7 linked regions of the Mus musculus genome follow. The protein of the gene in region 4 interacts with the protein of the main gene of each other region in a pairwise test. Links are inferred from orthologs where the notes say so. Each region holds a gene or a part of one and is shown on either strand. Other genes may lie near its edges.

Evidence for each region.
Region 1: the proteins of Pnma1 (region 4) and Gpank1 interact in binary tests that used the Homo sapiens proteins (3 or more experiments, as listed by UniProt). The two-hybrid records come from large-scale screens. The link is inferred for Mus musculus from reciprocal best matches to the Homo sapiens genes PNMA1 and GPANK1.
Region 2: the proteins of Pnma1 (region 4) and Sema4c interact in binary tests that used the Homo sapiens proteins (3 or more experiments, as listed by UniProt). The two-hybrid records come from large-scale screens. The link is inferred for Mus musculus from reciprocal best matches to the Homo sapiens genes PNMA1 and SEMA4C.
Region 3: the proteins of Pnma1 (region 4) and Atp5o interact in binary tests that used the Homo sapiens proteins (3 or more experiments, as listed by UniProt). The two-hybrid records come from large-scale screens. The link is inferred for Mus musculus from reciprocal best matches to the Homo sapiens genes PNMA1 and ATP5PO.
Region 5: the proteins of Pnma1 (region 4) and Tnni1 interact in binary tests that used the Homo sapiens proteins (3 or more experiments, as listed by UniProt). The two-hybrid records come from large-scale screens. The link is inferred for Mus musculus from reciprocal best matches to the Homo sapiens genes PNMA1 and TNNI1.
Region 6: the proteins of Pnma1 (region 4) and Lnx1 interact in binary tests that used the Homo sapiens proteins (3 or more experiments, as listed by UniProt). The two-hybrid records come from large-scale screens. The link is inferred for Mus musculus from reciprocal best matches to the Homo sapiens genes PNMA1 and LNX1.
Region 7: the proteins of Pnma1 (region 4) and Ubqln1 interact in binary tests that used the Homo sapiens proteins (3 or more experiments, as listed by UniProt). The two-hybrid records come from large-scale screens. The link is inferred for Mus musculus from reciprocal best matches to the Homo sapiens genes PNMA1 and UBQLN1.

The regions. Positions count from the first base shown.
Region 1 is NC_000083.6:35,121,582-35,125,315, reverse strand, and holds Gpank1 (G patch domain and ankyrin repeat-containing protein 1 isoform 1 precursor), read right to left. Parts: upstream 2,365-3,734; 5' UTR 2,331-2,364; coding exon 1,657-2,330; intron 1,097-1,656; coding exon 652-1,096; 3' UTR 501-651; downstream 1-500.
Region 2 is NC_000067.6:36,555,582-36,559,881, reverse strand, and holds the start of Sema4c (semaphorin-4C precursor), read left to right. Parts: upstream 1-1,500; 5' UTR 1,501-1,866; exon of another isoform or gene 1,867-2,232; coding exon of another isoform or gene 2,233-2,522; intron 2,523-2,796; exon of another isoform or gene 2,797-3,079; intron 3,080-3,096; exon of another isoform or gene 3,097-3,385; intron 3,386-3,801; exon of another isoform or gene 3,802-3,804; coding exon of another isoform or gene 3,805-3,841; coding exon 3,842-3,950; intron 3,951-4,300.
Region 3 is NC_000082.6:91,928,831-91,933,076, forward strand, and holds the start of Atp5o (ATP synthase subunit O, mitochondrial precursor), read right to left. Parts: upstream 2,801-4,246; 5' UTR 2,726-2,800; coding exon 2,690-2,725; intron 1,575-2,689; coding exon 1,524-1,574; intron 180-1,523; coding exon 69-179; intron 1-68. UniProt on the Homo sapiens protein: Subunit OSCP, of the mitochondrial membrane ATP synthase complex (F(1)F(0) ATP synthase or Complex V) that produces ATP from ADP in the presence of a proton gradient across the membrane which is generated by electron transport complexes of the respiratory chain.
Region 4 is NC_000078.6:84,145,690-84,149,867, forward strand, and holds Pnma1 (paraneoplastic antigen Ma1 homolog), read right to left. Parts: upstream 2,801-4,178; 5' UTR 2,239-2,800; coding exon 1,177-2,238; 3' UTR 442-1,176; downstream 1-441.
Region 5 is NC_000067.6:135,805,921-135,809,420, reverse strand, and holds part of Tnni1 (troponin I, slow skeletal muscle), read right to left. Parts: intron 1,901-3,500; coding exon 1,811-1,900; intron 789-1,810; coding exon 612-788; intron 1-611. UniProt on the Homo sapiens protein: Troponin I is the inhibitory subunit of troponin, the thin filament regulatory complex which confers calcium-sensitivity to striated muscle actomyosin ATPase activity.
Region 6 is NC_000071.6:74,605,404-74,608,903, reverse strand, and holds part of Lnx1 (E3 ubiquitin-protein ligase LNX), read left to right. Parts: exon of another isoform or gene 1-998; coding exon 999-1,167; intron 1,168-2,641; coding exon 2,642-2,867; intron 2,868-3,500.
Region 7 is NC_000079.6:58,191,654-58,195,153, forward strand, and holds part of Ubqln1 (ubiquilin-1), read right to left. Parts: intron 1,862-3,500; coding exon 1,599-1,861; intron 583-1,598; coding exon 424-582; intron 313-423; coding exon 69-312; intron 1-68. UniProt on the Homo sapiens protein: Plays an important role in the regulation of different protein degradation mechanisms and pathways including ubiquitin-proteasome system (UPS), autophagy and endoplasmic reticulum-associated protein degradation (ERAD) pathway.

The sequences.
Region 1 (3,734 bases), on a different chromosome or scaffold from region 4:
GACTCTACTTCCTCTCTGGGGACTTTTAACTTCCCTACCACAAGGTATTACACTTCATCACAGCTGGCTTCCTCAAGTTCAAGGTTTGTATCAGGCAGAGCAGAGCAAAGTATCTTTGGCTTTTCTCCCAATGTCAGCAGCATCTTTTGGATGCATCTTGTCTTGGAGAGGGGCCCCACCCAGGGTCTTCCCAGTGTTAGGCAGGTGCTCTAACCAAGCTATGCCCGCCCCTCTCCAACACATAGCACACTTGGTTTGTGATACTTGTCACTGACTTGACTGGCCTAGACACATACTCAGAGGGGTGTTTTACAAAGTGGGGCAATTCCTAATGTGTGTGTGGGGGCGGGGATTCAAGGAGCAGGTAGAATGCAGCCAGCAGGACTGGGGACTCTCTTTTGTCACCCGGAGAGCTTGTCCTTTTGGCTCAGGTGAGACTTCTATGTGACTCTCAGATTTGTTCCAATTCCCTACTATATCATTCAAGAAAGTAAACAAACCACAAGGAAGGAAGTTTATTTATCTCCCAACTCTCCGCCCTTCTCTCTAAAATCAGAGCCCAACAGCTAAGGCCTAAGGGTTCGGAAGTCCAAGTGTCCAAGTCAGAGGCCCAAGTCCAGCGAGTGACAGACCAGGGCCAGTCCATATCAGTCAGAACTCGAGGTTCATGTACAGTCTTAGATCTCGCTCCCAGGCTCTGCCCTTTTCTTCTTGCCTTCTGTTCTCCCTCTGACTCAGTGTGGCAACTCGAGGGACTCTCTCTCTCCCAGACACAGCCCGGGTATCCCGCGCTGCAAAGTGTGTGACTCGGGGTTGGGGTGGGGATCTATAACCCAATCCTTCCTGGTCCCTCTTGAGGATAGTGGGGATAGGGTTGGCACGGCCTTCACCCCGGGGTCCTAGCCCCATTCCTGGTTCCCAGCCACCTCTCAGCAGTAGCCTGAAGCCAGGACTGGAAGTGGGCACCCCAAGGGGAAGGTTGGAGGGCTGGGGTCTCCTGGACAGTGACAGCAGGTGAGCAGTAGATGTGTGGTGGTTGGAGTCTTCAAAGTGGGCACCACAGTCCTCACAGAACTGGGACGAGGAGGGGGTAGATCTGCAGAGAAAGAAATATGTTATAGGGGAGGAAAAAAAAAGATGAACAGAGCCTCAAGTTGTTCAGGCACCAGGCAGAGCAGAGCAAAGTACTTTTTGCCTTTCTCCCAATGTCAGCAGCATCTTTTGGTTGTATCTTGTCTTGGAAAGGGGCCCCAGGGTCTTCCCAGTAGGGAATATTTGGAATACTGTCAGGTAGGCCTCAAGCTCTCAGGAATAATGAGTAGTGCTGGCATTTATAAAGTGCAAACTGTGTGACAAGCACCATCCCATCCTACCCCATCTCTTTCCACATTAACCTACTGTATCTTAACACCCCTTTGAGGAAAAAGTCTTAGCCCCAATTCTCAGACAAGGACTGAGATTTGCAGACTTTAGGCTGGCACTGCAAATAAATGGAACCAAGATTCAAATGCACAAAGACCACGCCCATTGTTACTCTATGACTGAATATGCCAGAGGATGAATAGCCCCCTTTAGCTGCTGTGGGCCCTTAGTATGAGGTGCCCAGGAAAGGAAGAACACAATAAAGATGGGTGTAAGTGAAGGCTCCCTCCTCACCGGTTCTGGTTCTCAGGGCTCCTTGTCTCTCCATGACTCTCTCTGACCATACGGGCTACCTCAGGGAAGCCTGCTTCTTCAGCCAGCTGGGCAGCATCTCTGCCTCCCAGGTCACAGACTCCAACCCAGGCAGCTCCTCGGCCCAGGAGATAGCGCACAGCGGCGCCCTGGCCTGCTCGGGCAGCACACATCAAGGGAGTCCACCAGAAGGCATCACGAGCATTGATATTCCCTCCAGCTCCCCCTGCCTCTTGGGGTTCTAGCAGCCTCCGGAGTTCTGTCAGATCCCCATTCTGGGCTGCCAGCAGGATCCACTGGGCCATCCTGTCTTCATCCTCAAGTGCTCTTCCTTGTCTGGGGACTCCTGCTGCTGCAGGCTCCCTAGTCACTCTTCTTCTCTTCTTCTTCCTCTCCCTCATAGGTTCAGCTCTCTGGGGCTTAGAGGAACTACTGTCATCTGCGATTAGAGCCTCATAGAAAGCCCGGGCAGCAGCCCCGTCCAGGACAGGCTCTGCTTTCTCCTGCTGTGGTTGCTGCTGCCCATCCTTCCAGAGGTCACTGGAGTCAGCCGCTGGGGTAAATTCGATGAAGGATGGCCTAGACATGCCTGTGAGAGAAACAAGAAAATGAAGACTGGGCAAGGCAAGGATGTGACAAGCAAGCGATCCAACCATTCAGGTAGCTATTGTGAAGATGACCAGCACCACCTCTGGGGGCCCGCTGAGATGGGAAAGCAGCCTAGAACTAAAATGGGCCTCCCATCCCAAAACTGACTTCATAGTTAGGATTCTGTGGAGCCCGGGCCTCATGGGTAAAAGGGACCCCAGGAATAACAACAGATCCTGTCACGATGGGATGGGTAAAACAGACCCCAGGAACAACAGATCCTGTCATGATGTTAATAAAATTTCATGAGGGCATAGTAGATATGAATCTGTGTAGAATGCTTGTTTCAAATTTGAGAATTCTAGATTCTATCAATAACACAGAAAAGAAAAAGGGTAACAGGAAAAAAATATTCTACAAGACAGTTGTTAATGGGTTCTGTATTCAACTCCCATCTTCCTACAAACAAAAATGCCAGGCTCTCTCTGAAAACATTCCGCTAACACATACAGGAAATATAAGGTCGACACCCCCCCCCCTTTTTTTTTCGAGACAGGGTTTCTCTGTATAGCCCTGGCTGTCCTGGAACTCACTCTGTAGACCAGACTGGCCTCGATCTCAGAAATCTGCCAGCTTCTGCCTCCCAAGTGCTGGGATTAAAGGCGTGCGCCACCACTGGCCCGCACAGGTCGACCTTTTAAATCTTGCTCGATCTTATCTAGGGGTCCCCTTTTCCCAGATTAAAAACAGGCATGACATTACTCCGGGAGGTTTCTGGGGAAGCTGCATTGTCACTTCTGTACCGCAAAATGTCGCTCTTGTAATCTGTAAGATTGGATACAATCAAATAGCCACAGGGCAGAACGAGGCATGCGCAGGAGCAACAACAACAAAACATCCATAAGGTTCAAGTTTCCCGCGCTAGAACCTTTTCTAGCATCCTCGTAGTAAAGCATCGCGTGCCCAGTAGCGCGAGGACCCAAGGGGGAGCCTGTCGGTTGGGGTCCTGCTTTTACATAACGCCCCCACAATGCCCTTCGCCACCCTCCGCGTTCAGAAAGACTCTGAGGACACAGTGGGGAGACCTGTGGGATGCCGAGGAGCTGTGAGATGAAGTAACATCACGGTTACCCCTCACCACTGCTCTGAGCAGGGTTTGAAGAACAGTCAGGGTCATCAGCACAACTCTCTACCCCAGCTCTGAGGAGATGGAGAAGTACAAAGGGACAAGCGGCGGCAGAATGGCTGGCCCCACCTCAGGTTAGCTCGCAGGGCGGTCCAGGTTCTCACGCAGCGTGCACAGCTCAGCGCATCCCAAGCACACCCGACCTAAGTCCCTCACCACAACTCTGCGCATGCCGGAGCCCGAGCGCACTCTGTCGCGGGCCTGGCGAGAGAACCAGGATCCCGTGGGTTGGCCTGGCACAGGGAAGAGGGAGAAAAAAAAGCAAAGCGGAACGCTGAGGGAGCAC
Region 2 (4,300 bases), on a different chromosome or scaffold from region 4:
ACAGGTGAGAAGGAAACACAGCAGGAAGTGGAGGTTAGCCTCATGGTTGCTGACTGCTGAAAGGATGGAGCTTCTGGGCTCACAGTTTTCCTACCTCTCCCTTCCCAAGCAGGTGGGATGGACCATATAGACTGCGTCCAGCGCCAGGATCTCACTAAAAATGTCACCTTGCTCTTTGTGTGGATTTGAGCCCTTTTTTTGTTTGTTTGTTTGTATCTTGCTTAATCTCTTATTCAGTGAGAGAAACAGTAGCTGGCTTGGAAGTCCTGTTTCAGCCTCCTGGAGCTGAGGAGTCTTAGCTTTTAGCGAATCCTGAGCTTGGAGTGGGGCTTGCCCTTAGTAGATGAACAGGAGCCTGGTCAAGAGGAGTGTGCATGGCTCCCTCCCTGGCCAGCTTCCATAGGACACCCTCCCTGCCCACCCCTGGCAATAGCTGGCCTGCCTCCTATCTCTGAGGTCACAGCTTTGTTTCCTAATGGAAAGGAGCTGGGAAACGTGGCTCTGGCCAGCGAGGGAGAAGGGGCCCTTCTGTGTCCCAGTAAAGACCCAATTGTTACTGAAACCAAACTGGGCTGCCATTCTCGATTACTCCCATTGCTCTTCTGCTCTTCACTTCTCAGGTGCCACGTTTTAGCCCAGAACAAAAGCTGCTGTCGGACTGATTTATACTCCAGATTTTACTTATGGGGTCTGAAGTGTTTTTTCCCCTCCGGGACTGCCCCCTGGGGCTCAAAGTTACCACAGAAACCTCCAGGCCTCCTTCCCTTCGTCCCTGTCCTTTGATTCTGGTTAGGGGTGGTCTCCAGGTACCGCTGGGGCAGTTTCCCCGAGGTTTCTCAGTCCACCTGCCCACTGGAGGACCAGCTGGCTGGAAGGATTTGCCAGCCAGCACCGTCCAGGAGGCCACAGCTACAAGTTACTTCTAGGAGCGCCTGTGGGCGGAGGCTGGCAGTTCTGAAGGTGGTGGTGGTTCGCTGCGTGGCTCCCTCCAGCCTCTTTCATCTGAACCGTGGCGCGCTCGTGCCTCTAGTTAATCAGCCTTCCAAGCCACACCAAGAGTCATTTCCCGGGGGTAGGCTCTGCTGGAGCCTGGAAACTAGGAGCTGCCTGCAGTCTTGGGGTCTCCTCTGCCTGTGAGCTGCTCCTTCCAGTCCAAGGGTTAGGGCCAGAAAGGAGGACAACTTTGGAGTCAAAAGACTGACCACTGTGGTTAGCACCTGAGAGAACCTTCAGTTTCTTCTCTTGCTACGCCACCCCCTTCGGGTACAAGTCCCAAAATGGTTTGCCAGTTTTCGTTCCCGTAACTGGAGCGTGGGGAAGCCCCTCAACCCTTCCAGAGAGCCCATCCCGCCTCAGGACTTGAAGGCACACTTCACCAGGTGAGTGCAGTTCGTGCAGTTCCCGGTGGCAACGCCTGGAGTCCCTCCCCGCCCCCCACCCCGCCCCCTCCCCGCCTCCGGCCGCTGTGGCGCAGACCTTGACTCACGAGCTGCAAGAGTCGTAAAGGGTCCCCAAGCCTCAGTGCCGGGTAAGCAAGGCAGCGGGTCGCAGCCCCCTCCTGGGCGGGCCTTCGCGTCCCGCCCCCGGCCACCACTCGACACCCTCTGCCTGACGTCAAGGGGTTGGGGGCGGAGAGCGGCGGTGGCGGCGGCTGCAGCGGAGAAAGAACCGGCGCCCGGCGCGGTGGAGCGCCGAATCCGAGCTCAGGGGCGCCGAGAGCCGTGCTGAGACCGAGGGGCGGTGGCACGGGACAGCCTTAGCGTGCTGGCGGGCGGGCGCAGTCTGGAGCGGCGCGGGGGCAGGGGAGGACGGTGGCCGGAGTCAAACGCGAGGGCAGCGCCCAGGGATTGGAGCTGCACGAAAGAGGTGAGTGAGGCCGGAGCGGTGGGGCCCCGGGGCCGCTGCTTTGTCCCCTTGCTTGGGTAGGGGCTAGCGCGCGCGCTAGAGGACAGCGTCTAGGGGTGCAGGGCGGGGCGACAGCAAAGACAGCTGTCCGATCCGGGTCCCTCTTGAGTCCGCCGCGGGCTGCCCAGTGGCGATCGGCATCAAGGCAAGCAGTGCCTGCAGCTCCACTGGCCGGAGCAGCGGGAGCCTGGGGGTACGGACAGCGCTAGGGGCAGTGGGGGACCCTTGGGCTGTCCAGCGCGCGGTCCGAATCTTTGCCAGGCTCGCGAACTGCTCGGGTTCCCCCCACCTCGACGGAAAGTTAGGGGCGGGCTTGGACCGTGGCCGATGTTGTGGGATCGGATTTCCCTAGCGCGGCCCCCCGCCCTCCCGTTCTGCTCCGGAGGCGGGCTGGCACTGAGAACCAGCCCCCTAGCCAAAGCTCCGCCGCCCGGTCCCTCTCTGGAGCGCCGCAATCCACGACCGGGTGTGCAAGTGTGGGGTGCAAATCCTGGTCCTGCACCCCTCCATCCCCTTGGCTGTCCGTGTCCCTTGCTTCGGGAAGAGCTTGGGGGTTGGGTCACCGCTACGCCTGCAGATTCTCGGAGCGCACCACCGGGTTTTGACCCCAGCCTAGGGTAATTGGCAGAGAGGAAACTGAGGGTGTGTCAGGGGGGACTGCTCCGGGGAAGGCAGCCCCAGCCCCCCGCCCTTCCCGCGCGGAGGTTCTTGGCCGACAGGGGGCGTCCGCAAGCCCGGCTTTGCCACGCTCCCAGCGCTGCCGCTTTGTTTGCATTCAAATCCCCGGAGCTGGGGGAGGGGAGAGTCCACAGTAGGGAGACCGAGACCGGGTCTTGGCTAGGAACCTTTGTTTTGGGGTGCAATCCTCAGATTCTGCATCTCTGTTCCCAGCCCCTAGCGTCTAGATTAGTGGAGATCCGTTCCGTTTGCCTACTGCCTAGTGCATGGTCCCCGAGGTGCAATCCCGGAGTTAAGAACGTTCGTCAGAGCCGGGGAGGAGGGGACGCAGCCCTTGACGATCATTTGTGGGCATCCCCTGTTGTCCAGGAGAACCCCGCTTCGGCCTCCCCAACCCATTTCACTTCCCTCCACGATCCCGCTCTCGCGGAGGCGAGGAGATTCCCAGACAGAAGCCTGGAACTGACTCGTGGCCCGGTCGCCTCTCTGCGGGAGGGTCAGTGTCTTGTAGAAGGCTGTTGGAGAAACAGGACTGGTCCTGGTCATTTCCACGCCCATCCCACCCACTTCCTGCCTCCCTCTTGGGCAACAAAGGGGCCTCGGAAGCTGGGCCCATTTGGTTCCCGGCCCCACTCCTACTCCAGCCCTGCTGATGTGGAACCGGGTTTGGGCTCTGCCCGGCTATTGTCTGCGCTGGGGGAGGGGACGGGCTGGGGCCGGGAACTCTACACGCTGCCTGCTTCACCAAGTCCCCCACTGAAGCTCTTTGCCCAACCGGCTGCCTGCGGCTGCTGAATAAGGGGTATATCTCCCCGAATTAGGTCTTGGGGCTGGCCTGGGTCCCACTGGTAGCAAGCCCTGTTTTTTATGGTTATTGTAAGAAACTCTGAAACCTTTAAGGCCAGAAGGAGCCAATGAGGGGGAGTCCCTCTTTTATTTTTTTCCACACAACTCCCTGTTGAAGGGAGGGAGTAGGGATGGCCTGGAGGCCACAGGCGGCTTTTGATGACTGCCCACGCCTAGTGCTTGCTGACTAAGTTCCTCTCCTTGCTCTTCTGGGAGACCCCCAGGGCTCTTGTGGGCAGAGGCCAGTTGCAGGATCAGGAGGAGATGTAAAGGCTCTGGGGGAGGTTTGTTCCAGTGTGCGTCCTGTGTTGCTTGTCTCTTGGTGCGGGCCCCCTTCCGGTCTGTGATGCTGACCAGTTTCTTTTCCTTCAGCAGGGCTGCTGGACTGAAGTTTAGACCCTGGGTGTCTGCCATGGCCCCACACTGGGCTGTCTGGCTGCTGGCAGCAGGGCTGTGGGGCCTGGGCATCGGGGCTGAGATGTGGTGGAACCTTGTGCCCCGGAAGACAGTATCTTCTGGGGGTGAGTGCCTGAAGCATGGGAGGCAGGGCCAGAGGGAGGCTGGGATAGACTGCTGGGGGAAGGGCGAGGAGGGGAGTGATGCTTGCTTGCAGGAAGGAGCTGCTGCTGAGGAATTACCCCCAAGCATGCACCTTTACACCGATATGTGTGGCTGTGGCTTTCTAAGAAACGCGAGTGGCCCCAGGGGCCCAGAACTGGTAGTGCTGGTCTAGACCTGGGCTTTGCCCCCTTCTGACACTGGGATAACTTTATGGGATCTCTTACCAGCGCACCCCCACCCTCACCCAGACCTGGCTGGCCTGGTGTGCAAGGGAGGTAGTTTCTGAATCAACCTCCCTGTTCCTCACTTG
Region 3 (4,246 bases), on a different chromosome or scaffold from region 4:
GGTTCTTTTTATAGGCTGTACCCCGTTAGGACCGGACACAGGAACAAGCCCAACAGAGAGCTGCTCACCCCTACGCGCAGCAGCTCCTTCTCCACCTGGTCCAGCTTCTTCTCCTTAGATGCAGCAGAGTACAGGGCGGTTGCATAGCGGCCTTCGATGCCGTAGACCTGAACAGGGGGCTGGAAACAAGAGTAAGAGGGGGGGAGTGAGGCAGCTAAGTCAGGAACAGAATTACCCCCAACTCCAAGACTGCATTCCCACTGCCAAGCCAAGGTGCAGTCCTAAATGAGAACTCACAAACTAGGGCCGTCTCCCTGGCCAGGACCCTCTACCTTTAGAGGGGCAGAGAGGGCAGTGTCCAGCGTCTCTCCCAGCTCTCCCTACCTGCAAATGTTACAGCAAGCTTTGGCTTTCTTTGATCTCAGTGACAATGCCATCCCTAAGCACAGGAGTTTAGTACGACGGCAGGCAGTTGTGAAGATTAGCAATGCAGGGGCAGCAGTAAGAAGTGCACATGTGGATGTGTCCCTATCACGGTCATGGTGTTTTATGAAGTTCTCAGGAGGAATAAAATGGCTCCACTCACAGAGGCTGAAGGAATCTGGTGCTGTTATTAAGCGTAGCGTGTGTTGCTGTAAGTTCCACCCAACGTCCCTAGAGCATTGTATTCTGCTATTCCTAAGGGGACCATGAGTGCAGATCACTGGCCTGGTTGCCCGAGAGCATACAGCAGCCCAGGATATCTTCAGATTCTGCCATGCATGAATTAGTAACAATGAACTATAGAATAAATGCACGTGCAGCCATACTTCAATCTGTCTTGGGCCAGAGGTCAGTCAGACTTCTGGTTTAAAAAGAATAGGCCAATAGACCTCTGCAATCAATGGTGAGACTCTTGGTGCCTGGGAATGGTACCTGTCAGTACTGATTCTGCTTGGGGAAACAAGGTGCAGGCTGCAAGCAGGCCTCACATCTGAGCAACTCGGAGTTGCCACAGAGTATCAACTGTGTGAGAATCTGGGCACTTCACTTTCTTTTGTTAGAAACAGTTCCTTCATAAAAAAAAGAATGAAAGGCTAGCTTGTCTATGGACGATTGCTAGGAAAAACAATTTAAGAGTCTTTTATACATACAGTGTGTGTGTGTGTGTGTGTGTGTGTGTGTGTGTGTGTGCGCGCGCACGCACTACACGCAGAGAACAGAACAGAAAACTTTCAGGTCTTTCTTTCCTTTCCCCCTCCGGGTTCCAGGGATTGAACTCACACCCTCAGGCCTGCCATCCAGCCCTTACCTGCTGAGCTCTTGCTGGGCCCAAACAAGTTATTTTTAGAACATTAAAGTCTAGGGTTGAGCCCACCCTGTGTGACAGGCGCCCAACAGCATCCCCTGCACCCAGGCACTCATCTGGGAACTGCCACCCTTGCAGACCAAGGTTATTAATTACACACTTCAACGTATTTCTGTTCAACTCACTCTTTCATTGTTTTCCAAACACACACACACAAATAAGTAAGCTGACATACCCTTACAAGCTTGGCAAAGGGCCTGACCACAGATGTACTGAAGCTCCGAACCTTTAGAACAAAAGAAAACAGATCAGACAGGGTTTCTGCATTAGCTTAGCAATGTGTTAAAATAATCTAATCAAATACTTGCGCAATTCCTTTCTATCATCACACAGGTTATATGAGTGGGAGCTGCTCTTTGTTATACACTCCCTATTGAGAATCACCCCAAATCCCTCCAGAAACTGCCTTCCCAACACCTTCCTCCCTGGATAGCTGAGAGAGAAAAGCTGCTAACTTCCCAAAGTGGAATTTTTCAAAATAATTAAGAGCTTTATCACATTTGGGAAGAATGCTTTATGAAAGCGGAGGATTTATATTACATCACCTTTGAGAAAAACTTTAATGAACATGAAATGAGTCCAGTCTTAATTCAAGGAAACCTACTTGCTTAGGAACTGAAATGCTATCTAAGACCAAAGATCTCTTGATACAGCACCAGGCTTCAGGCACTGTGTCTGTCACTGGAGCAGCCTGGAATCCAGTTTAAAAAGCGTTTTGCGAGGGCACAGGTCACAGTCATATACTACTCTCTCTAGACTAGAATGTACTCGATTGGAACTGGCTATGAGGGTTAAAAAACTTTCTAACGCCTTAGTAATAATTCTGTATGGTGCAGATGAAAACCATGACGGCTGTCGATACAAAATTATCATGGCAGATGACCCAGGCACGTATTTTTTTCCACCCAATTCCAGGTTCTGCTGGACTTGGCCTGTTGCAAGCTCGCCATCACTCACCAGCTGCCAGCCAAAGGGGAGACGTTTAGCCCTTCCCCCCTTCTTTATAAACACAGGGGATGCGCTTTTCCAACACTCAAAATCCTAAGCAGCAGGCAGCCCTTAGGTTTACCAGCAAGGACAGGCATGTACTCTCCCCAGTGCTCTCTCCCATGCCCTTGCCAGCTGCTCCGCTATGCAGTGAGTCCTGGATGTCAAGGTCAAGACAGAGAAATCCGTGCCCACTCCCCACGGGGACGAAACGCGGATCCGCCCCACGCTGCCTGCAGTCGCCGGGCCCCACGACCCTGGGCGGGCTGCCTGACCCCTCAGCCACGGCCTCACACGCGGCGATGGGAGCCGGGGACCCGCAACCCTGGGAGGGAGCCTCCCGCCAGCTTCTACCTGTCGAGACAGTCCGGACGCTGCAGGCGCGGCCATCTTTTCCCGGGCGGCTGTAGGTCAAACCCAAATGAAAAGAGACTACTGGCGCCAGAGCGCACGCGCGCGCGCCAGCGTGATCGCTCGGCTTTCTGGGAAATGTACGCGTCAGGAGCCCGGGAGTGTGGGTAAGAACCTCTTGCATGCTGGGAGTTGTAGTCCGTACCTGCCGCGGTCCGGCTGGACTCGTGAACCGGAACCAGAAAATTAAGTCTGAAATTAGGTTTAGATTTAAACTCTTTGCACATGCATCGTCAACATCGTTGACTCGTCTTGAACCTGCCAAGTGTGCTTCTGTGGCAATGCTTCAGGCTTTACTTAAAACAAAAACCAAAAGTGAACCTACCCGGGCGCACTTCTTGGCTCTTCTGGCCATATTTTGATTACATAGGACAGTTGACAGGTGTGTTTGTGCTTTTTCTTTTTTTCTTTTTTTAGATTTCTTTATTTACTTCATGTATATGAGTATACTGTAGCTGTACAGATGGTTGTGAGCCTTCATGTGGTTGTTGGGGATTTAATTTTTGTTTTTGGATCTCTGCTCGCTCCAGCCCAAAGATTTATTATTATATTATACATAAGTACACCGTAGCTGTCTTCAGATACACCAGAAGAGGGCGTCAGATCTCATTATCGGTGGTTGTGAGCCACCATGTGGTTGCTGGGATTTGAACTCAGGACCTTCGGAAGAGCAGTTAGTGCTCTTAACTGCTGAGTCATCTTGCCAGCCCGTGTTTGTGCTTTTTATACCCACAGACTCAAAATCTATATATAATTTATCTATATATAATTTACTTTTTAATATGAGGGAAGATGGATACAGAATTATATGGGTTGCAAATACATTCTTTTAGAAATTGTTTTATGTGTTTGAGTGTTTTCCTGCATATATTCACGTGTACCATGTGTGCCTGTTGCCTTAGAGTCCAGAAAAGGACATCTAGTCTCTTGGAGCTGGAGTTAGAGGCAGTTGTGAGGTGCCAGGGGGTACTGAAACTGAGCACAGGTCCTCTGCAGGAGCAGCCAGTGCCCAACCGCTGAGCTGTCTCTCCAACCTCAGAAATACATTTTGTATAAGCAAATTTCTAAATTATGGCACTTTAATAAACATGTCCATAGCTGCAGAATAACCTACTTTGATTCTATAACTTAACCATTCTATGACTTTTCAACATAACTCACGTGGTTTATATTACTTTAATATATTACTTTAATACACATCTGAGTATCTTTAGATATACTTTTTCATAATTTCAAAAGTAGAATTTAAAAGTTGATCGAGCAGCTTGACAAGTGAGCATGAGCACATGGGCACATGAGGCAGAGCTGCTTCTCTTCGGCTTACACTCTCACTAGCTGTGTGTGGATACTTCACTCCACTGCTGCAAAATGCTTTTACGTAAGCCTAATGAAAAGCGTATTCAGCACTGATCACATCTTATGGAACTGCTCATGTGTAGACAGCTGTTTTATATCCCAAGTCTCAACAAGGTATCAAAAAAAAAATCAACCTGTTTGCCT
Region 4 (4,178 bases):
TTGCCTTGAGGAAGTCATGTGGAAATTGAACTCACTGAAAGGTAGATGTAGTAGTGTCTGCCTAGAATCTCAGCCCCCAAGAGGTAGGCAGAAGGATCACAGGTTCAAGAGCAGTAGCCCATGCTACACAGTGAGACAGTATCTACAAGAAATAGCTAGGGGTAGTGGCTCAAACCTGTAATCCCAGGACCGCTGCAAGTTTGAGGTCAGCCTGGGCTACAGAGTGAATTTCAGGCCAGCCTCAGCTACAGAGTGGGACTGTGACAAAACAACCAAGGAACCACCCAACCAAGATGTATAGGTGACACTGCAACTTAAATTCATAGCAAGGAGGGTAATTTTTGTTTTGTTTTGTTTTGTTTTACATGAACAAAAGTCCTTGTTAGGAGAAAAATATACGGAGCTAAATTAACTGAAAAATTTTATACGTGTCAGGAAAAATGAGAATTTTCAAATTTTTATTTGTATACATCTATTCAATAACTTCAAACTTAGAACCCTTAGCGCTGACCAATTATTAAATGACTAGTCTTTGAAGTGGGGGAAGTGTAGACTGGCCACGGCCACTCCCCCTAGGACTTCTGTCTTCCACCGTGAGGAACTGATTGTGCAGCTCGGTAAAGGCCTGGTTTTTTCTAACATGCCACTTTTAGTCCGAGGATCCTTTTCAGGGAAACTGATTCCAGCGTTGAGCCGTGAGGAATTAGAAATCCGCATTTTTCAAGATGAGTAATATCTTCTAATAGAATCACATTCTTTCCATCGATACAAATTGGGAACAATTTACAGTAAAACCATCCACAGTGTTAGTAACAAACACAAGAGTTTGTACTGTACAGTCTGTGAACCTGGTGCGCGGTTAGCATCAGAACCTGCAGCTTCGCAACCACCTTGACAGGAAGTGTCACAGCTTCACGTTTGTGCACAGCTGTCAGAGATGTCGCCAGGAGGGCTGGCATCAAGCATTCACTTTAGGCAGTAAGGACCACCTTTACCGTTGCAGCTCCTGACAATCACACACTTCTGTGAATGTTACAGGAATATGCGGGCCTGACTTCCCCATCCCATCCCTCAGGAAACAAAACCAAGCCAGGAGGAGGCTGGGTGCTTGCTTTGAGTGGCAGGCTTACTAAAACGTCACAGGTATATCAAAAGCAGCCTGGCCAGTCCTAGGACTCAGAAGTGCCCCTCCAGGCCTAGCTGCAAGAGGGCGGCCTCGGCCTCCTCCTCCTCCTTCTTGGCTTCCTCCTCTCGAATCTGCACCAGTAACTGGAAGAGGTTGGGTGCAGGCCCTTCCTCAGCCCCGGCCAGCCACAACTGCCTTCGGAGGGCCCCACTGTGGTTAGCCCCAGCGATGACCTGCTCCAAGCGAGCCTGGTTCACGTTATCTTTATCAATGACCCCCTTGTCTACTACCTTTTGCAGCAGAGGCTCCAGACGGATAACATACGAAGATAACTTTTCTCCTGGGTTCTGGTAAGTGTTCAGAAATCTGACCTGTGCATCTCTAGAGCTCTCCACACTCCCAAAGACCTGCTCAAGAGCCTTCAGGCATTCTGCGGTCGTTATGGCGGCGTTGTTGGTCTTGAGGATGCGGATGACGTCAGCAGCGGGGCCTCTCAAACTCTCCATCAACCGCCGTCTCTTTTCTATATCCGACACCTGCCATTCCTCTATGATTTCATTTGAGTGCTCCAGCCAGGAATCAAAGGTTTCCTCGCCAGGCCCGGGAATGTCCTTCCCGGAGAATAACGTCAGCTTCTTATACCATATGGACTCAACAAGAGGTTGAATAACATTATCCAAAATATAGTTGAGCATCTCTGCTGGCATTTCCGGGCCTGGAGCTGGAGCAGGGTTCTGAAACCCAAGCACACGAGCAACATCTTGCACGGTCCACCCTTCCCTAGCTAGAAAGAGGTGCAGCCTTTCCAAAAAAACTGCGTCGGAAGTGGGGGGTTTAAACACCACTTTCCAGAGCCCTCCTTTGCCTGGCATCTCCCTGGGTATCAGGGAGTAATCCACTGCCCCAGTGAGCTCTAACAAGGCTGCTTTAGCATTTTCTTCCCTCCAGAACATTCTCCCCAGCACTCGATAGGATACCTGGGGCATCGCAGCTTGGAGGGTCTCTTCAATTTCGGTCTCATCACAGTTCACAGGGATCCCCCAGACCAACAGAGCTCTCTGAGAGTTCACATCCATTCCCCTGCACCAGTCTTCCAATAGTGTCATAGCCATTTCACCCAACTATTAAAAGTGCCAGTTCTACAGACACTGCTTGGACTGGCTCACGAGGCTATAGGGCCTAGGACAATACAACATGCTCTCCTCCCCCGGTAGGCCAGGGGGCGACAAGCTTCAGGCAACCACAATTACCAAAAGACACCAGAGTTCCTTCTTGTCCCTTCCGGGTCCCAAGTCAGGGTCGGGAGCCACGGGACACTCCGCCTATCACTCGAATGTCGCCCCCTTTGGTCCGGGCAGGGAGGGCTGAACTGGCTGCAGCTGTGTCTGGCGTCACCGCTTAAAGAGAGGGAGCAAGGTGGGCTCAAGACTGATGACTCCGGGCGGGAGATGGCTGGGTGCGGTCGCGGGGCGTGGCAGCTCCTCCCACCTCTCCCCGGCACGCCGGCGGGCTGAGGGTCACGCGAGGCCGTGGCTTGGCTACGTGGGGAGAGGCGGCACTCCGAGCACCGGGAACCCAAGCGGCAGGAAGCACGGGATGGGGGAGAAACTCGGCTGGAGGCAGCTCTGCCTAGCGCTTATGTCCGCGCGCTCCCGCAACGGCCGGCGTGCAGCTGCAGTGGAGGGCGGAACCGGTCCGCTTGTCTCCCCCAGTGTCACCGTGACAACTGTGTCCATGACGACGCGAGATACGCGGGCTCCAGAGGATCTGGCGGTTGCTATGGTGCCAAGAAGGGGTTTGAGGAGTCTATTCTATGACGGCGCATTTCTTTTTACACCCCCCCCCCCGCCTTCCCTGATTCTTTCTTAGCTATTGCTACGCATGCTTTATTTAATTTTGCCGTGGATTTAAGCTGGCTTTATTGATACGCATCTACCACGACGGACTTATCTCATATTGCTCATCCATTCTATGAATTCAGTCTTTAACTCTGACTTCCGGGAACCACCTGATCCCACTCTGCAACTACTTGGTTCCTCCCCACAAAACTAGGAAAGAGAATTCCATCTACTGGTTCCTGTGAGTGTCTGACTTGGCTTTCTTGTTTAAAGTGTGTGTGTGTGTGTGTGTGTGTGTGTGTGTGTGTGTGTACACAAAACCCCGTGACTACTTACCTTTGTAGCCAGGCAAACTGCAAACATATTGCCTTCTTATCCTTACTGAGTATACAAGATAGCAAAACAGAATGTTTATGGCCCCGAAAAGGCGGGTAAGTTCTCTTCAAGCAAAACAAGGCCTATCAGTCCCAGACGGCAAAAACACCCCTATAAGAATGTGGTATTCAACAATGAATTTTTTTTAAAACCTTATTTAATAAAAGGTCTTAAGATACAGAACATTCAAAAGTAAATAAGTTACATAGGTACATTACAATCACAGCAAGATTCTCTTTAGTGTATTAATTTTTTTTTTATAAAAAGCACACAAAAAATAAAATTTTCAGTCTGGTCTATCACAACTGTACACAAAGAGGTAATATTTATATTTATATATATATATATATGTACACTATTTTAATATGTAACAGTCTTTTTTAAAAAGAGTGCCACAGGCAACAAACACATGAAAGGCAGTGTCTGACCATTTTGTTTCAAAATAAAAGGAATATACTTACTTTATGCTATTAAAATATTTGTACACTAATTACAGACTGTCAAGGCTGTTCTGTGCTCCATCCTCTCCAGCAAGGCCTTTAACGTAAGAGACAAATGAGGAAAAGTTCTAACAGCTGCAATTTTTTTTTTTTTGAGGCAACAAACACAGCCAAATGTGGGTTAGACACAACTGTTTTTATATAAAAATATGCATACTTCCTGTAAAAACCTAAGGGGTTAGGCTTTGCCAGTCTAGTAATAAATAATAACCCAGAACAGTGAGCCCCAATAAAAACATTTCAACAGCTGAGGCTTGAGTACTATTGCACTCTTCCTCCTCTGTCTTTAACATCTGGCACATGAGAAGAAAGAGGTTGGGTGACTGAGGCAGTTAAATA
Region 5 (3,500 bases), on a different chromosome or scaffold from region 4:
GTCTAGGTAACTGTCACAGGGTCACAAAACTGGTTCCCAGTATATGACAGGCCAACCTCTCCTCCAGGATCCACAACACCCTCCTGTGGGACACCCTGCAGTTGGTTCAAGGTCACCTCCTCCAAGAAGCCTCTCCTGATTCATTTAACTTGTTTTCAATTTTGTCAGCATACTGGCTTGGCCTGTTTGTCTTTATTAAGCTCTCTGGGCCAGATAAATTGCTCTCTCACCATGCTCCTCACAGCCTGTCAGCTCTAAACATGTTCTGTGAGACCAACAAATTTGAAGTAGTTGTTTGCTAGGCAAGTTAATTGAACTCGGTTCTCCAATTTCTATGCACTCATGTTCCTATAGCCACAACGAGAAGCTGAAGTGACAGGGGTAATGGTTACCCCTTAACTGATATGGGAAGCAAGTTTTAATTTCCCAGTCAGCCTTTCTCTCATCCCATTGTCCCCTCAGACTGGAAGCAGCCAGTAGTCTCTCTTCTGACACTGGCCTCCTAGGGGATCCTAGAATATCCTGATTCACACACTGACTAGAGCGCCTCAGGCAATGTAAGAAGTGGCAGATAGAGGCCAGTAGGCGGGTCTGAGGAGAGGGGCCCTCACCTTTTCTGTGTCTTCTTTCTTCACAGACTTGAGGTTGGCCCGCAGATCCATGGACACCTTGTGCTTAGAGCCCAGTAGGGCTCGGAGCATGGCATCGGCTGAGACACGGACCCGGCGCAGGGGAGGACGCTTGAACTTCCCACGGAGGTCCAGCACCTTCAGCTTCAGGTCCTTGATCTGGGGGAGCAAAGGAGCCAGGCTCTGACCTAGAGTTCTCACCCTGAGGATCCAACCACTGGGCTTCCAGCTAGAACCATCCTACAAGTCCTCCGGGCTCCAGGCTAGACCATCTGGGGTGCTCAGAATCTCCTACCCTTTTCCAAGCAATCACTACACACGCTAAATGTTCTAAATGAACTTTTACAGATTACGCCCACTAGTTAACCTTGCCTCTTCCCCATAACCAAGTCACAAATAAATGATAAGCCAATAAACCTTTACTCCCATTTGGAAGCCTTGTGTGGGGTGTAAACTGCTTTCTCCTTCCCTCCATCTTTGCTCTTAGTACTCAACCCTGCCCAGGGCCTGCACAGCAGCTGAGCCTTGACTGACACAGCAGGTAGAGGAGCCCTAAATCCTACACCCTGATAATCCCAGGGTGTGGTCTGCAAGGGAGTTCTCTGGAGCTTAATGGCATCACACAGCACCCTCGAAAGCAGGGTAGGGTACGGAAGTGCCTGCTCACCTTGGGCCAATGCTCAGAAGCAGCCCATGGTTGGTCCTAATGCCCACACACTCCACAATGAAGGGCTGAGTCCCGTGGAGTGGGAACTGGAGCACAGAGCACAGTGTGCATACTGGGACCCCCATTTTGTGACCCAAGCCCAAGCAAGTGCTTAGCCTTTGTGAGTCTGCATGTCCTCATTTGTCAGGGTCAGGTAATAGCCCCCGTGTCACCCGCAGGCGTGTAGGGAGGATCAAAGGATTCAACTGCACTTGAAAGCCCTTCACAAACGTAAGATGTCATTAACAGACATCTGATTGCTTGTGTGGGTGAGGGAAGCCGGCAGCTTCTGAAGAGCTCACGTGGCAGGTGGGGAGGAAGTTTGTTCTTTTCATGTGTGGCTATCCTTCCTGCCCATCTCCAGACCTGTGGTGTTGGGGTGGATGCTGAGAGCCTGCCTCCCAGGCTCCGTAGACCCAGGAGAGCCTCACAAGTGCCCGCCCAGGCGGTCCCATCCCCCACCTCCAGGGCCTACCTCTCTGGTGTTGTGGAGGCATTTGGCTTCAATATCATAGCGCTCCTCATCCACCACCTCTACCTTGGCATGGAGCTCTCGGCACAAGTCCTGAGGAGTAGATCCACAGCATGAGAGCGGAGAAGAGGGGGAAGGGCCACCGGGGCCAGCCTCCTTTTCCTGTGTGCACACTGAGCACGCTTAGCCCTATGGTCCTTCGCTTTGCCTGCACTGTAATCCCAACAGGAGCGGCCTCTGCATGGGGCTCAAAGCTGTCACCATCAAGGGAACAACTCAAAGCATAAGCCTTTGCTCGCCTTTCTGGTCTATGCTTGGTTTCTTTTTCTAGCTTTTTGTAAATGCTAACTTTTTTTTTTTAAGGTAGTATCACTATGTAGCCCAGGCTGGCCTGAAAGCCTTGCCATTGAGTGTGTCATAATCTTTACATATATGAATTCATAGACATAGGACATACAAGACCCACACTGATTCAAACCAGGCAAAATCCCAGCACAGAGAAGGGAAGTGGACACAAAGCCCCACCCCTAACCAAACAGTTATTTACAACTGATATTCGCTGGGAAAGGGGCAAACAGCTTTCTCCAATGGTGTCGCTATGTTTATTGAGTTCCATGCCCACAAGCAGACAGCCAACAAAAAATAAACTCCATGTCTCCATGTTTCCTCTGTTTTGTTTGACTTTTTTTTTGTTTTTTTGTTTTTTGGTTTTTGGTTTTTTTTGTTTTTTGTTTTTTTGTATTATTGTTCTCCCCCACCCCACGTGCCTTGATCTCTCCAGGGTCTCACTATGTAGTACTGTCCTGGCTCACTCTGTAGACCAGGCTGGTGTCAAACTCACAGAGTTCCACCCACTTCTGCTTCCAGGATACTGGGATTAATGGTGAGCACTACCACACCCAACCTGATTTTCTGACTTGCTTGCTACTGTTTTAATTTTCACGGTTTTTTGTTTTTTGTTGTTTTTCTTGTTTGACTGGTTGGTTTTGGTTTTGGGCTTTTGGTGTTTTTGTTTGTTTGTTTGTTTCTTTTTTAAGAGAGAAAGAACACAAAGTTAGGTGGGGAGGGAGTTGAGAAGAATCTGAGAAGAGTTGGAAGAGGAAAAATATGATCAAAGTATATTGTATGAAACTGTTTTAATTAATAAGTGCTTTTAATTCACAGCCCTCCAACCTCTGTCCCCTGAGTATTGGGATTGCAGGCTCATGCCTCAGCAGCAAGCTCATAGTTATTGTCTATAGATAGATAGATAGATAGATAGATAGATAGATAGATAGATAGATAGATAGATAGATAGTTTTGTGGTATAAAAGTGATATAAGTTAATAGTGGAAATTTTGAAAACTCAATATTAACCAAAAATAGTAAAATTAAAATAGCCACTGCTGTGGGAGACACATGGACATATTTTCATCTGGTCTTTTCTCTGCAGCCACTGGCGTTAAAGCAATTACTAACAGTTCAAAAAAAGCAAAGACTTGGGACTGGAGAGATGGCTCAGCGGTTGAGGGTACTGGTAGCTCTTCCAGAGGACCAGGGTTCAAATCCCAGTACCCACATGGCAGCTCACAACTATCTGTAACTCCAAGATCTGACATCTTCACACAGAAACACATGCAGGCAAAACACCAATGCACAATAAATAAATAAATCATTTTTTTTAAATTCCAAAAAAAATTCATCCTGAAAAAAA
Region 6 (3,500 bases), on a different chromosome or scaffold from region 4:
GGACAAGTGCAGTCCTGGTGCTCAGCTACTTGGTTCAGCTGTTTGGAATGCACCAAAAATAGGGAAGATGTATAAGATAGGCCAAATTTTTGCATCTGTGTATGGTTTGCATGCACGTGCATATGTGTATTTACAGACACGTGAATGCATGCGCATGTGTGAGCGTGTGCATGTAGAAGGCAGAGCATGACATCAGGTATTTTTCTTGGTTGCTCTCTATCCTATTTACTGAGATTGCTTCACGCCAAAGCTGAGCTTGCCTAATTGCCGAGTCTTAACTAGCCATCTCTCTCCGTTGGATCTCTGAACTCTGGATTACACATGAGCCACCATTTTATATGGTTAGCTTTTCTATGAGTGCTACAAGATCTGAACAGTGGTCCTCAGACCTGTGCAGGAAGCACTACAGCCAACAAGCCATCACCCGAGGTCCATGATGTAAGAAAAATTTTAAACCTAGACAAGCTTTTGCCAGGCTGGCAAAATTGCTCAGTGGGTAAAGGCGCTTGCTGTCAAGCCTACCAGAATGGGTTTGATCCCTGGGACTCACAGGGTGGAGTCAGAGAGCCAGCTTCTGTAAGTTGTCCTCTGACCTCCATATGTATGTTCTAGCATGTGCCCCTCAAACTTCCACACATTCCATTAATCAATATGATTTTAAATATGAAAGACATACTGATATTCATGTACAGTGAGTGTTCTGAGAAGTTGGCCTACTGTTGTCAGAAATGGCTGACTTCCTTGAGAGATTTGAGATCCAGTCCAAATTTATAAGATCCAGATTTCTACCATGGTCCCCAGGCTGTTGCCTCTGTACGGTTAGTATTCCGTTCTGCAATGTAAACTTCTCGGAGTCAAGCCTTGGAATTTGCGATGCTGTATTTGTGATGCTGGAATTTGAGGTGCTGTAACTCTCTTGATGCGAATGGGAAAACGTGCGCACTCTCAGAGAGGCCGTGTGAGTGTATGTGCCATGTTCTTTGTGTCTGTGCCTTCAGCCTGCAGCCACCTGTCATGAGAAGGTTGTAAGTGTCTGGAAAGACCCCAGCGAGTCTCTCGGCATGACCGTCGGAGGGGGAGCATCCCACAGGGAATGGGACTTGCCCATCTATGTCATCAGTGTTGAACCCGGCGGAGTCATAAGCAGAGACGGGAGAATAAAAACAGGTACAAACTCAAGAGAATAAAGGCGCTGGGGTGGCAGAGCCTGGGGCGGAGCTAGGAGCTCGCTGTTGAGTTCCTTAATTGCTCTCCCAGAGTCAAGGAGAGCATGTCAGAGGGAACTGGCCATGACTGCTGTGTCCCTTTGAGCAGGATGAGCACGAGTGTAGCAGTAGTCTAGGCTCACCCCTCTTAGTGCATGGAAGTAGGCATGAGGCAGCTTTGCTAGGGAAGCTAGAGTCCCTGGACTTTCCAGGCTGAGCAGACAGCCACTACACCCATGAACAAGGTGCCGCTAAGGCACAATTTAGTTCCACGCAATCTAACAGCCCTAAGGATTCTGTGGATTGTACCATTTGGTGGGGCTAAATGGGGTGAATCTATTGAGAGATCTTGATTCAATGGTATAGTTAAATATCATTAGTGGGACTTTGTTCCTTGGTGAGAAATGGACCTCTCTTAGCCACTCATGTTCTGGGCTCCTCTACATAAAGGAAAGTACCCAGTTTACCTTGTGAGTACGTGTTCTCAATAACGCTGTTCAAGCACATGAAGAGGTCACCTAGGTAAAGGAACAGTTGTGCTTTTGAAGGGCTCAGATTTAAGACAGAAAAAAGTCTCTCAAATACATGCACTTGAGTGTGGCATAGTATATATAGGATTTAGGCAGACAATCAAAGGTGGTTTTTTTTTTTCTTTTTTCTTTTGTCTTAAGTCAGCAAGCATTTGAGGATACCCCTTGTCATTTTCCTCCTGACTACAATTATTCTGTGTGAAAAAAGATGATATATAAGAAGCAAGACAAAAAAACAAATAACAACAACAACAAAAACCCGAGAGATAGTTGAAAGACAAGCCATCGAGGGCAGGGAGATCCATCTTAAATTCTCCTGCTGCTCAGCAAGCACCCGGGGTGAAGAATAAGCTCTGACAAGAAGTGACATTGTAGCATGTCACATATAGAAGCAGTTTTGCACAGAGTAGGTGCTTAGCTAATGCGACACACAGAGATGTCTTGACTAGAAATGATAACTATACACCTCTGTGAAAGCTCAGGTTCAGGGCCATTCTTTATCTGCCCTGGGCTCCTGTGCCAGACACTAACTCCTGCTTCGGTCCCTGTTTGTACATAGCAGGCTCTCTGCGGGCACTGGAGCCTTATGCCAACTGCTCTCATTGTGTGCTCAAGAAACTAGGAAACTAAAAGAGTGAGATTGCAGCTTGTCTTTGGTTAAGTAGTCAAGGAAGCTATTTAAGTCAGGCAACAGATGAACGTCACTAGGCCATTGTTAGAGACTCCCAACAAGCCATTCCCACATGCTCTACCATCTGCTAAAGGGGACCCAGTCTCGTGTCTCTATGAGCTGAAGATATGCGCCTCTCCTCACCCTGCCCCTGTGCCCGGTCAGCCGCTGTCCTGTCACACGGAGCAGAATCCCATTTGCACTCAGTGAGGTTGCTTTTGCTTCTCTGGCCTCAGGTGACATTTTATTGAATGTGAATGGGATTGAGCTCACAGAGGTCAGCCGGACAGAGGCCGTTGCCATACTGAAGAGCGCACCCTCCTCAGTGGTACTCAAAGCCTTGGAAGTCAAGGAACAGGAGGCCCAGGAAGACTGCAGCCCAGCAGCCCTGGACTCCAACCACAACGTGACCCCGCCTGGTGACTGGTCCCCATCCTGGGTCATGTGGCTGGAATTACCACAGTGAGTCCCAATTCAACACCCCAATGGATTCTATTTCTTAATCCACTTTCACTGTCTTGGGCCAATTTATGGGCACTAGCATCTTGCTAGGACCCAGTCTTCTCTGTGGGACTGTTGGGAATAACTGTCTTCTGTTGGCAAATGAAAATCCCTATAGAAATCTTAGGGTAGAGGTGGAAGTCTAGAAAGAGAAGCTTCTAGATATTCTTGAAGTGTTTACAGTTACCAGATGGTTCATGTAGCAGGGGGTTCAGCTGACTGACAGACATTCAGCCTGTGTTTCCACACTCATGAGCTGAGTTGCATCTGCTCACACCAAGCTTCACCTTTGCATGGGTATGAGTGGGAGCTGCAGACCGGCTGTGGTCCTACTCTGAGGCTTCCAGAAGCTCTGACTATACGCACAGCAGCGCAGCAAAACATCATGGCTTCAGAGAGTTACGTGTCTGCTAGCTGGGGATGCTTCTCACAACATCTCTTTTCAGTGACTCCTCTTGGAAAGTCCTTTAGGAAGCAACTAGGGTACCATTTTTCTGAGGTATAGCAGGAGAGCTCCACAAAATGGCTCTGAACATGAACTGACTAGTTAAAATGGACAGATAAATTTGATGTTTGCTTCCTTGGACTAGAGCA
Region 7 (3,500 bases), on a different chromosome or scaffold from region 4:
AAAGGGATGCACACAGATACATAAATAGTTTCAGCACCAGTCTTGTAATCAATGCGAGGCACACATACCTCCTGCGCCAGGCACCAAGCTTGGGCCCGAGGTGCTCTGTCCAGCAGGGGTACTGGTGGCAGTGCCACCAGAGGTGCTCATGGTGTTAGTGGTGCTGCCAGTGGTACCGGAGGCTGGTGAGCTCTGGGAAGTCTGCGGAGCCCACGGGTTGGGGAGCGGATCCCTATTTTCTGTTCGAGAAGGCTGAGTCCCTTCTGCTGAGGACGAACTGCTCACTAAGGACGCAAATGGATTACCACCAAACTGTAATAAAAAGAAAAAAAATCAATTACAGAATGATTTTTTTCAGTACAGCCACATTCTGCACATAGCAGTACCCTTAGTCACAGACTGAGCCTGGGCACGAGTGCTCACCTGTTCTTGAGCAGCATTCAGCATAGGCTCCTGGATATCGGTGTACATGCGCCGTAAGGCATTATAGCCCCCAGGAATACTTTCTAGGTTGCTCAAGGCTCGGTCCTGGTTTCTCATCATTTCCTGCATCATCGCTGGATTTCTCGCAAGTTCCAGTGTCTAAGAAAGAAATCTCCAGTTTAAAAGAAAGCACTGAACTATTCAAGGAACTCCTTCTGCATTCAGCTAATGCCTGTGGGAGGCACGTGTGCTAAGTTCCAGGCAGACACACTGAACTTTAAACAGCTGTTTTTTTTAATCAGGACTCCGACTGCGCAGTGCTGCCTGCCTTGGCCTGATCTCATCTGCTCAGTTCTGGGAAACACTAGTTCTATTTTAAAGGGTGAGGTATCATCCAATTCTAGAGCCAAAAAGGCTAATTAAGAGTTTTAAACCTATTCTGCTATATTTAAATTAGTAAAGTACTTAAGATTCCTGGTGTATTTCATCTCTAAACACAAAATATATTCATAGGCTATCACAAACAGGCCATCTCCAAAAATGGACTTAAACCTACACTGCCCACCCCCCATCCCCACCTCCCCTCACAATTTTTGAGGCAGGATTTCTCTTACATAGTCCTTGCTGTTCTAGAACTCACAATGTAGACCAGGCTGACCTTAATCAAGCCCAAGAGATCTCCTGCCTCTGCCTGCCAGGTACTGGGATCAAAGCTGTGTACCATAAAGCTGTGTGCCACCAACCCAATCTAATGTTTTCACTGAAATTTTTTTTCATACAATATATTTCGATGGGTTTTTCCCGCCTAAAAATGGTTTTCTGTTTTATTTGAAACGTGTAAGGAGCAAGGTGCTGACATCACCTCTCCACCCTGCATTCCAGGACCCCCACCACCTCCACCACCAAAGGAGAAACCGGCACAAAAAGCCTGTCTCTAAGGAGAGTTTGTAAAGAATTTTCATGCATAGCAGAAAACTCAGAGCTCAAACAAACAAAATTAATATTGTTTTGCTGAGTTTCCCTAAATAATGGTTGGGATTCTCTCTAACTTTATAAAAAATACACAAGGCAATCTCTGGCAATAACATTTTATATTTACATACATACACACACACACACACACACACATAAACACCCTTTAGTTTAAGTAAAAAAAGAACTACTTTTCTACATACTTGTCTCATTATATCTGGATTATTAAGCATATGACTAATCTCTGGATTTCTCTGTATCAACTGTTGCATCTGTGGATTGGCCATAATCAATTGCCGCATCAGGTCAGGATTTGAGAGCATGCTCTGGACAAAGGGATTTTCCATGATCTGGACCATCATTTCAGGGTTAGACAAAAGTTGCCGCTGCATTTGGCTCTGGAGTTCAGAGAAGTTGGTGGTGTTTAAACCCAAGCTGCTAAGACCTGCAAGTCCTCCAAGTCCGCCTTAGAAGAGGAAAAAACAAAAAATGAAAATCAGAAGTCAGTGCTAAAATATGAAGTCATTAACTCTATATTTTAAAAACCATTAAAAACAAAACAATTCCTATTATTCATTTATAAAGTTATACTTATTCATTATAAGTTATTCATTATTTATTATACTATTCAGCTTTAATTCCTATGCTACGGCTTAGGTATGAAGTGTACCCAAAAGCCTTCATCAGCTGGTGACACTGATGAAGGTTATCATGGTGCTAATGAGCCAGTAGCTCAATGGGCTATTCGGTGCAGTACATTTGAAGAGACTTCCTGATGCTAAGATAGGGGACTTTTATATGTGTATTAAGAAGACATACTTGTACTCTCATACTGGACAAAGAAATCTGCATGTACACCCTACTAATAGCCTACAGCACACACTACTGATTGTTTGTTCAGAGTTAACCTCAACCACAGAAGACCAGAGCTCTTGTTAATATAACCCTGATACCAGCAGACACTAATTATTCTGTTTCAAGAACTGTTTGAAACCAGGACTAGGAGATGAATGAAAGGAATAACAAGACATAGTCATTTGGCCCACTCTCAATTGCTGACTATCTGACCAGAGGCAAATCTGAGCTCTGAAAGGATCAACCACCTTGTTTCTTTCTTCTTTTTTTTTTTTTATTACGTATTTTCTTCAGTTACATTTCCAATGCTATCCCAAAAGTCCCCCACACCACCCCCCACTCCCCTACCCACCCACTCCCCCTTTTTGGCCCTGGCGTTCCCCTGTACTGGGGCATATAAAGTTTGCCTGACCAATGGGCCTCTCTTTCCAGTGATGGCCGACTAGGCCATCTTTTGATACATATGCAGCTAGAGTCAAGAGCTCCGGGGTACTGGTTAGTTCATAATGTTGTTCCACCGATAGGGTTGCAGATCTCTTTAGCTCCTTGGATACTTTCTCTAGCTCCTCCATTGGGGTCCCTGTGATCCATCCAATAGCTGACTGTGAGCATCCACTTCTGTGTTTGCTAGGCCCCGGCCTAGTCTCAACCACCTTGTTTCTGTTCTCTCCAACCCCATATAATTTGCTGGCTGAAGATTAGATGTAGCCCCAGATTACCAGTTCTGAAATAAAAAACAATTTATAGCTCAAACTCCCTGTTCTCATTTGCCTTTGGGGTGGCAGGCAGAAGTGAGACAGCAGCTATCCATGAGGACCAGCTCTCTGCTGCACCCTCCCTGCCACACCACAGGCCTTTACCCAGTAGTAGTCCACCAGCTGGAAACCATGTGACAAAACAAACTACCTCACTTCAACTGCTTCTTCCCAGTGTTTGTCACAGGGGACAGCCCCCAACCCCAAACACATTCTACAATCAAAATTAGCCAAATTCTCACTTTAATATTTAACAAAACCAACCAGACATATTTTAAAAATCTCTCTAGCATAATAAAACACATTCATTCCTTCTTGACCTTTCACAGGGTTCCTAAAAGCTTAGGCAGTCACTTTGAGTGCCTTTTTGTTATACACAGCAGGCCCCACAGGCCACTACACTGAGGAGGGGTAAGACTGAAAGCACCCTGGGAATGATGCAAGATGGAGCTGATTACCAAACGGCCTAGTGGACTAAAGGTGAGACTTTCAGCC